2 linked regions of the Lepisosteus oculatus genome follow. The protein of the gene in region 2 binds, or shares a complex with, the protein of the main gene of each other region. Links are inferred from orthologs where the notes say so. Each region holds a gene or a part of one and is shown on either strand. Other genes may lie near its edges.

Evidence for each region.
Region 1: the proteins of kpna4 (region 2) and ran-binding protein 3 are in contact, whole or in part, in a crystal structure (PDB 5XZX), measured with the Homo sapiens proteins. The link is inferred for Lepisosteus oculatus from reciprocal best matches to the Homo sapiens genes KPNA4 and RANBP3. Residues at the interface, in NP_002259.1 of Homo sapiens: Arg96, Leu99, Ser100, Asp102, Arg103, Pro105, Phe133, Trp137, Thr140, Asn141, Ala143, Ser144, Gly145, Thr146, Ser147, Thr150, Glu175, Gln176, Trp179, Gly182, Asn183, Gly186, Asp187, Asn219, Trp222, Val225, Asn226, Arg229, Asp261, Trp264; in NP_015561.1 of Homo sapiens: Asn114, Tyr115, Cys116, Pro117, Pro118, Val119, Lys120, Arg121, Glu122, Arg123, Thr124, Ser125, Leu127.

What each region holds. Positions count from the first base shown.
Region 1 is NC_090724.1:4,953,708-4,957,625, reverse strand, and holds the start of ran-binding protein 3, read left to right. Parts: upstream 1-806; 5' UTR 807-821; coding exon 822-846; intron 847-1,431; coding exon 1,432-1,487; intron 1,488-1,710; coding exon 1,711-1,747; intron 1,748-1,861; coding exon 1,862-1,948; intron 1,949-2,800; coding exon 2,801-2,872; intron 2,873-3,560; coding exon 3,561-3,626; intron 3,627-3,918. UniProt on the Homo sapiens protein: Acts as a cofactor for XPO1/CRM1-mediated nuclear export, perhaps as export complex scaffolding protein. Bound to XPO1/CRM1, stabilizes the XPO1/CRM1-cargo interaction. In the absence of Ran-bound GTP prevents binding of XPO1/CRM1 to the nuclear pore complex.
Region 2 is NC_090708.1:5,992,117-5,996,034, reverse strand, and holds the start of kpna4 (importin subunit alpha-3), read right to left. Parts: upstream 2,546-3,918; 5' UTR 2,406-2,545; coding exon 2,337-2,405; intron 157-2,336; coding exon 112-156; intron 1-111. UniProt on the Homo sapiens protein: Functions in nuclear protein import as an adapter protein for nuclear receptor KPNB1. Binds specifically and directly to substrates containing either a simple or bipartite NLS motif.

The sequences.
Region 1 (3,918 bases), on a different chromosome or scaffold from region 2:
ATCCTACAAAAATGGGTCACCTTTGAAACCAGACGTGGTGTAGGAAAATAAAGATTTAAATTGTATTCCAAGAAACTGAAGTGAAAAAAAAAGCTGTGCTGCTATTTATGAAATTCACATCAGTGTTTCTTTGGTTATTGTTGGCCAACAGTATGTTTTACCTCTGTGGGTGTCGGTTCTTTAGGCCAAGGGTTCCCAATCCTGGTCCTGGTGACCCACATGAAAAATCAGGAAAGTGTTCATCCGGGAACAGTGTTGCTAATTGATTTAACATCTGTGTATCAAAGCAAAAGCTGGCCTGGAGGGGACAGTGGGGAAGCATGCTGAAGTAAATCTGCTTTTAAAGGAGGGAAGGTGACCTGGTGGGTAAATAGTCCTCTTATTTGTCAGGTTATGATGAACTAAAGGTAGTCACTCCTTCAGAGTTACCCAGCAGAAAGTACAGGCCAAGTTTATGAAACCAGTTTTTTTGCTTCTCATTTACTACTCTTTTGTTTCCCATGGCCAGTGCTCAGCTCTAGATCACTAAGAGCCCCAGACTCATCTTAAAGAGGACTAGAAGCTGTACTTGAAAAACTTCATTTGCAGCCTTCTCGTGTTGCTGGTGTGGCATTGAAGGGAATTCTGGCCTGCGCAGAAAAGAAGCTAGACCTCTGCATATGGCTAGTGAAATCCAAGCAATAAGTCACGCGTTTTAGTATGTAGAAATGTCCAAGTTGTTGACTATAAATAGGTCCAAGTGGAAATTCTAGCAGCTGTGTTTCTGTTGGATGTCTCTCTCACATCTCTGCAGCCATCTGGTAGAGGGTCTTTCGTTCCTTATGTGTCCCCAAGCCACTTTGACAGGTAGTGTTTAAGTAAAGCAAGACTGTTATTTGCTGCATGTTATTTGGGGCACAAGAGGCCGAGTTAAGTTTCATGACCTTTTGCCAGTAACAGTCTGACGACTGATTTATTAGTGTTTTCGTTTTAAAGCATTATTTACTGGGATGGATTTCTTAACCATTGAAGCAAGCTGTTGGAGCTGTGTTTTCTGCCTGGTATAAACTGTGGATTTCAGAAGCACAAATAAGAGGCATTCATTTTACATGACAATTGGACAAGTTGATGGGCAGTTCTGATAGAGCCAGTGATGAGTTCATTTTCATTGGGGAGCTTCAGTTTCAAAGCTCTGAATGTCTGGATGTTGATAGCGTGATGGTGACATTTGAAAGGGACTCTTCAAGAATTAAGCTTAGAGGGTGCTGATGTTCGCAAAAGTCAAAATGCTAGTACTACTAATCAAAGAATATTAGTATTGTCTTTCAATTACGTAGACTGGATGCATCACAGAAGTGTTTTAATGTAGTTTTGCCAGTGCGCTGAAGTTCTTTGGAGCCTGCATCAGAGTCTGTCCATAAACCACAAGTTTTTTTTTTGTTTGTTTTATAGAGAAACCTGCCATAGCTCCACCTGTCTTTGTGTTCCAGAAAGATAAAGCACAGAAGGTAAGCCAGCCAGTTTCAGAGCTGATTTATTTCACTTCTGGGAGCTGGGGGGCGGTGTTGAGTGGATGAGAAACAAAGTAAAGGTTAAGGGATCTGAAATCCGTTTAATAACTGAACCATTTTGTAGTGCCATATTGATCATGGTAAGAGTTTGGAGTTGAATGCCATTTGACAGGAGGCGAGAACAATAAACATGTAATTTGTTGACTTATTTTTATTTCAGAGATCAGCTGATGGATCCAGTGCAGAAGATGGTGAAGGTGACTTAAAAACGGAAATTTTTGTTTTGGTGAAAAACTAGACATGCTGTATCACTTCATGAATTTATTGTGGTTTCCTGGACACTTAGAACAACTTGTACTTAAATGTTTCAGATTCAGACAAAGACGATGGAGCTTATTGTCCCCCTGTGAAGCGCGAGAGAACATCGTCTTTAACACAGTTTCCACCCTCACATTCTGGTAACTATCCCTGCTTCTTGTGAGCAAGGTAGATGTGTATGTAAACGTGATGTGAGTTCTGTTGAATTGGCTTGTATGAGACACTAAGAGCTTATTGGGGTTTTAGCATTTTGTGTATTCTGCTTGAGGTTCTATCCTTGTTAACCTTATGCCTTGAATGTGAAGGCAAACAGCTATTGTATAAATAGCAGATTTTCTAAGCACACATGGAATACATAAGCATACATAACATAAAGATGTTCAGTCTCCAAAATTATAGGAAAGGTGCATAATTGTGACCATGAAGAATCAAAAACCCAAATTATCATTTACATTTCTATATGTGGCTCATGTCTCATGTATATGTGGGCATCCCTGCCCTCCTAGGATGTGATCTAGAGATGGTTGCATCCAAACATGGCATTGACAGCTGCATAATTACTGTCTTCACTGAAGCACTTGACACTCATTCATCATCTCCAAAGGCACTGGTATATAGAACTATACAAATCTGTGGAATGGTGGTTTACACCCGGATGGGGCATTTTTTCCAAATGTTCAATTGCTTCCTAGAGAATGAGTATTTTAGTTATTTCAGACTCTGATTTGTTAAAATAAGGTATATAATTTGTAAATGCTTGCTAGGTACTGACCTGTGTGGACCCTGTAAGTAGTCTTAGAAATATTTCTTAAGCCAGAACTGTTGTTGTTTTGTTTGTGATTTGATACATTCCAAAGATCATTCGCATAATCATCGTTCACAAGGAAGTACTTTTTTCCATTGCCTTCATCCCATCATTTATTCCTGATATTTGTTTTTTTCTTGGCCTTGTTTGTTCTCTCGTGTAATATGTTGCTGATTTTTCTTTGTAGTATCCAAAAACAATGTGTTTATGCCCTCAAGTTTCTGTCAGTCCCCAACTGGAAATTCAGACTCTGAGCCTGGTGAGTTCACTGAACTGTTCTCTCTGTGGGTCTGATTTGTAAGATGGCATTGAACTCTGGAAAGGTTAAGCATAGGCTTTTAGCCAATATATTTGTTTTTTTTGTATTTTATGTTGAACCATTTCATTGTACAACCTGTTTTTTTTCTCCGTTTAGAGAATGGTGTCAGGTTTTAGAATCATTAGTCAAATTTTTCCAAAATATTTTTTTTTAACCTATAACATTTGGCAGTTTATTCATGCAGAACTAAGTTTAATCTTCATTGCTGTGCTGTGACAAGTCAGCCAGGTCAGTCAGGTCAAGTAACGAGTCTAAGCTCTATTTCTTTTTAGAGTTATAGCGTTAGTTATTTCTCTGGTGTGTTTCTTTACTTTTTTAGTCTTGGCTTTTTACCTGCTGTTTGGTCTTATTGTAATATTTGAATGATTTGTACTTCATTTCCCACTTAACTAAAATTAAAACCTTTCTTCTGGTCAGGCTGCTTTATCAGACTTGGGCCAGATTAGTTGCAAAACTTTTTGGCAAAACAAACTGGGTCTTCTACATTGTTTTGCAGTTACAATTTATATATGCAGAAAACAAGACTCTTGTAAATAAGGACTCAGCTCCCCAGGATAAAGATTAATTACTCTGGCTCATTTTTCCTGATTCCCTGATCATTAACTTGCAAGTGTTTATCTGTTTGCAGAGGAGAAGACTGTTGGATTTCGTCTGAAACCGCCCACCCTGATCCATGGACAGGCCCCTAGTGCAGGTGGGTATTCATTGCTGCTATGTCCACGAGTGGATTTAGCAGCTGCTAGCAGCCTTTTCCGCTGTGTGTGTGTTGTTTTTTGCCTGGGTTATTGTAAGTCCGTGGTTGCATGATGGATTTGCAGCAAATGCAGGAAAAAAGGAAATAATCTCATGCATATTCATGAGAAAAGTCTTAAAACTAGATTTTCCAGTCTTTAGACTAGATGTGAGAGCAAATTAATAAAATTCAAGCTAATGTTAGCGTATTTTCCTTGTATTACGACTTTAATTATTTGATTGGGCAGAATGCT
Region 2 (3,918 bases):
TCCAATTCAAAAGTTACACGTCATTGCATATCCAAAACAATTAGATTACAAATGAACATTGTAAAAGTTAAGGGCTACTACGAAACTTCTGATGAATCAGAAAATCAATACCTTGCGAAGTTCCACAACCACCTCATTCCTCTGTCTTCTCATTGTCTGGATAAGGGGGAAAATACAAAAACATTTAATATTCTACTCATCTGAAAGATCTGACATTCTCAGAGGGACTACTAAGACAAATGTAGTCACTCCAACAGTTACATACAACTTTTTGGAAATGATGAAAGGAGCTTCTAGTATGCAATGAAGTATTAAAATGACCTCCCACCCTTGTACATTTTGAATACTTGTGATACCTCAGTGACACACCCAGAGAACAGTACAGGACAACATGGTTATCAAGTGTGACAACATTAAAAAACAGGTGGGTAGCTGCGTCAGCATGCGTAGGCTGCAAAGGAACAAGTAATAGGTTTATTCCATGCTGAAAAAAAGAAGAAAGAGAACACAACGTTTCGGCCGTGGAGCCTTCTTCAGGTTAAAAAACCTTCTTCATTAAAAAAAAACAGCCCACTGGAGAGAGTCCAGGATTTAACAATGGTTTACTGTGCAATGTGACAGCATTTCAGCGTAACACAGTTAGCCAATTTCATACCATATGCAGTGAGTAATGTAGCAGGAAGGGGCAGTTCACTCAGGGCTTAAGCTTAGAAATCCCTCACACGCCTCTGGAATTTAATCCACAAGGCACAGGACAGCACTGAGCACACAAAAGCACAGTAACATTCAAGACATTTCTAAAACCTTCAGTATGACTTCACAACTGGCCAGCACTGATACTGATTTTATTACTTTGAGTTCGGCTCCATGACTGTGGATCCCTATGATGTTAACAGTAACGCACTGGATTCAGGTTTATGTTTTACAGAAAAGGGGTGGGGCACTTTATTTCACTATCCCAAGACTAGAATTAATAGGAAAGAAGAAAAATGATGTGCTTGAAAGCATGAAATATCTTCAGAAATCCTAATGGTGATTAATGTAGGGTGGGACACTCAGACATTTTAAATCAAGTATAAAGACCTGCAACAGCATGTCAAATTTTAAATAAATGGTAGAACAACCTAAATGAATACAAATACAGATGCTTAGATGGCTCATGTTTTAGAGTATGGTCCTCAATCATTTTAATTGCTTTATAAAATAAAAAAACAAAAGGTGCAGCACAGCTATATTCATTTCTTTTTTATGAAAAGGGTGGCTGAGTGGCAATTAAGGAAAGTGAAATGATGAACTTCACAGAATCTTAAATGGTCCTATATATGTAGAAATACAGTCCGCTCAGACTATTGGACGTTTTGGCCAAAACTGACAAAGGTCTGAACATTATATTCATGCCTCCGTACAGATCTGTGTATGTTCCTTTGCATTATTAAGTACAGAAGACCAAAATTTAAAAGTCCAAATGTTGGAGTCTGATCCAGAAGTAAAGCCTGATGCGTCAACAAGGAAACTGCTTTACCAGATGAAAAAAAAGAAAGACTTCGTCTCTTTTCTCACGTTAGGACGTGTTGGGCCGCTTAGTATTATGTAACATCTACCAGATAGTTCACGTTCTCAAGAGATTTCCTTTAAGTTTTGGAAAAAGAAGCACATGACTTCCAATTTTCAATGCTATATAATATCGACTTTAGAAAAGGAAACAAAAATAAGAACGTTACCCAGAACGTAATATTTCTTAACTTGGGTGGTAACGAAGGACTGCAGACTAGAACGCCGTGGAATTATTTTTTTAAGAGATCTAGAAACAGACGTTTGGGAAGTTTTGTGGGTTAGATCAATCGTTGTTCGTGTTTCGCCACATCCAAACAACTCCAACCACGCGGAGAGAAGGAAGGGAAAAAAAAATCAACTCCACAAAAGACGCACCAAGTAACACTTTCGCTTTAGCAGAGAAGCTCCCAACAGCCCCGGAATAAGCTTCGGGGGTAGAGCAGCACACCACCATACCCAGCTTCTTCCAGTCATAAAAAAAAAACAAAGGCGTTTGCGGAGCCCAGTAAGCGAGCCCCGGCCTGGCCTGCCTCCCAGCCCCTGAATCCCTGCCCCGAAGTTTTGCGTGCTGGGCAGGGAGCGATCTGCCCAGCGCTGGGGCTGAATTAGGCCTCGGTCGAAGCCGCAGGGAGCTGGGGCCTGGCTTGGGCTGGGTGCAAACTTCGAGATCCTGGAAATTACTAAAGACGTCACAGCGGAACCTGAAACAAAATAACACACACAGACTCGCCAAAAAGAGAGAGAGAGAGGCACACCGAAAAAGTCAAGAAGAAAACAAATACCTCCAAATCCCGGCCCTTGTTTTTGAAATTCTTCAGCCGCTGATTATCCAGTTTCTCGTTGTCGGCCATGTTGGGGGAAAAAAAAATATGTATTTGTAATTACTATGATTTGGGCGACGTATCTCTTTCGTGTGTTTCTTTTCTCTCAGCCCCTCCAGTTACCGGACTCTTTTCTCTGGCTTCCTCGCAGGGGGTTGTGGGAATGCCGGTACAGGCCCAGCCTCGCTCTGGCCGCGGCGGAGGAGGGGCGGGCCTTTGTCGTCACGGATTGGTCGGCGAGCGAGGGAAATTTAATTTCAATACGCGTGCTCGGAGACGCGCTCGTCAGCGGTAATTACAATAAAGCGCAATAAATTCCAGCTTGCACTTTGGTTTTCATGGATATAAAAAAAAGGCATACGAGCTACATATAGCTACGTGTTTTATAGGGTACATAAAAATACGAATTAAAATTAGTATTCGAATCGGCCTTTTCCTCAAAGAAACTATGCTGCAATGCACCAGACTGTAACAGGAATAATGTAGTAAAATAGGCTGTTAGTGTTGATGTCATGATATGATACCTTGCATGGTACCTTGTAGCATTTTTAAATGTCATTAAATGCATAAATATTAAGTTTATAATGAAGTGGTATTATAGCTTATTAGCAGTTCTATGATTAGAAACATTTGATTATTATTGATCTTCCTATTGAATATCCTATTGAATATATTGTAACGCAACGGGGGCTCCGGCGGGCGCCCTTGCCGCATCTGGTCGGCCCCATCCCGACTGGAGGCTCGAACCCGGGACTTCCGTGTCTCTCTGCAGCGACCTAGCCCTGTGAGCTAAAGAGAGATCTCTCCACAGCCCAGTAGCTGTGGTCCTGCTATCACAGGGAAGGGCGGTGATCTTACACACAGTGCTTGTCGGCCGTAAGCGTTACAATAGAAATTCTGTTCAATTTGGTGTTTTGCTGGAACATATCCTGACAGCTCTGTTATTCCCCTTCTGAATTATTAAATTAATTAACCAACAATTAGCAGCATTTGCTTTTGTATCTGTAAATATTTTTATTTAATAAAGCATTCAGCTTTTTGCAATATATATATGAAGCATTTTCCTTCCTGTTAGAGACTTTGAAACGATAATTGTAGTTCACACTTTTGTGTAAAATACTTTTCATGTCCACATCCATTAGTCTATTGCACAGATTCCAAAATACATGTGCGACTGTTTTGATCTGAATGTAGAAGTTGTTATTATATATGCAGTTTCTTATAATTAAAAAAAAAACAGAATTCTTGTAACAATTTAGAGATGAAAGTGTCCTCTTGTGGCATAAATAGGTCACTGAGGAGGTGCGTCTTAGGTAAAGAGTTGATGTATTTTTATGAATGTGAGGGTACTGTTAAAGTAAAACCTGAGAATTAGGCAAAATATGACCCGGACATCAGTAATATTCATGTCTACTGGAATCAATCTTATTTCAATTTGTTCATCAGTTTCACATTACCTGGAATTAAATCGTGTAGAATCGCACCTCAAATATGCTTCAGACTGTTGGAGCTCAGAAACACTGCCAGCTTTCTGTGACTGGGG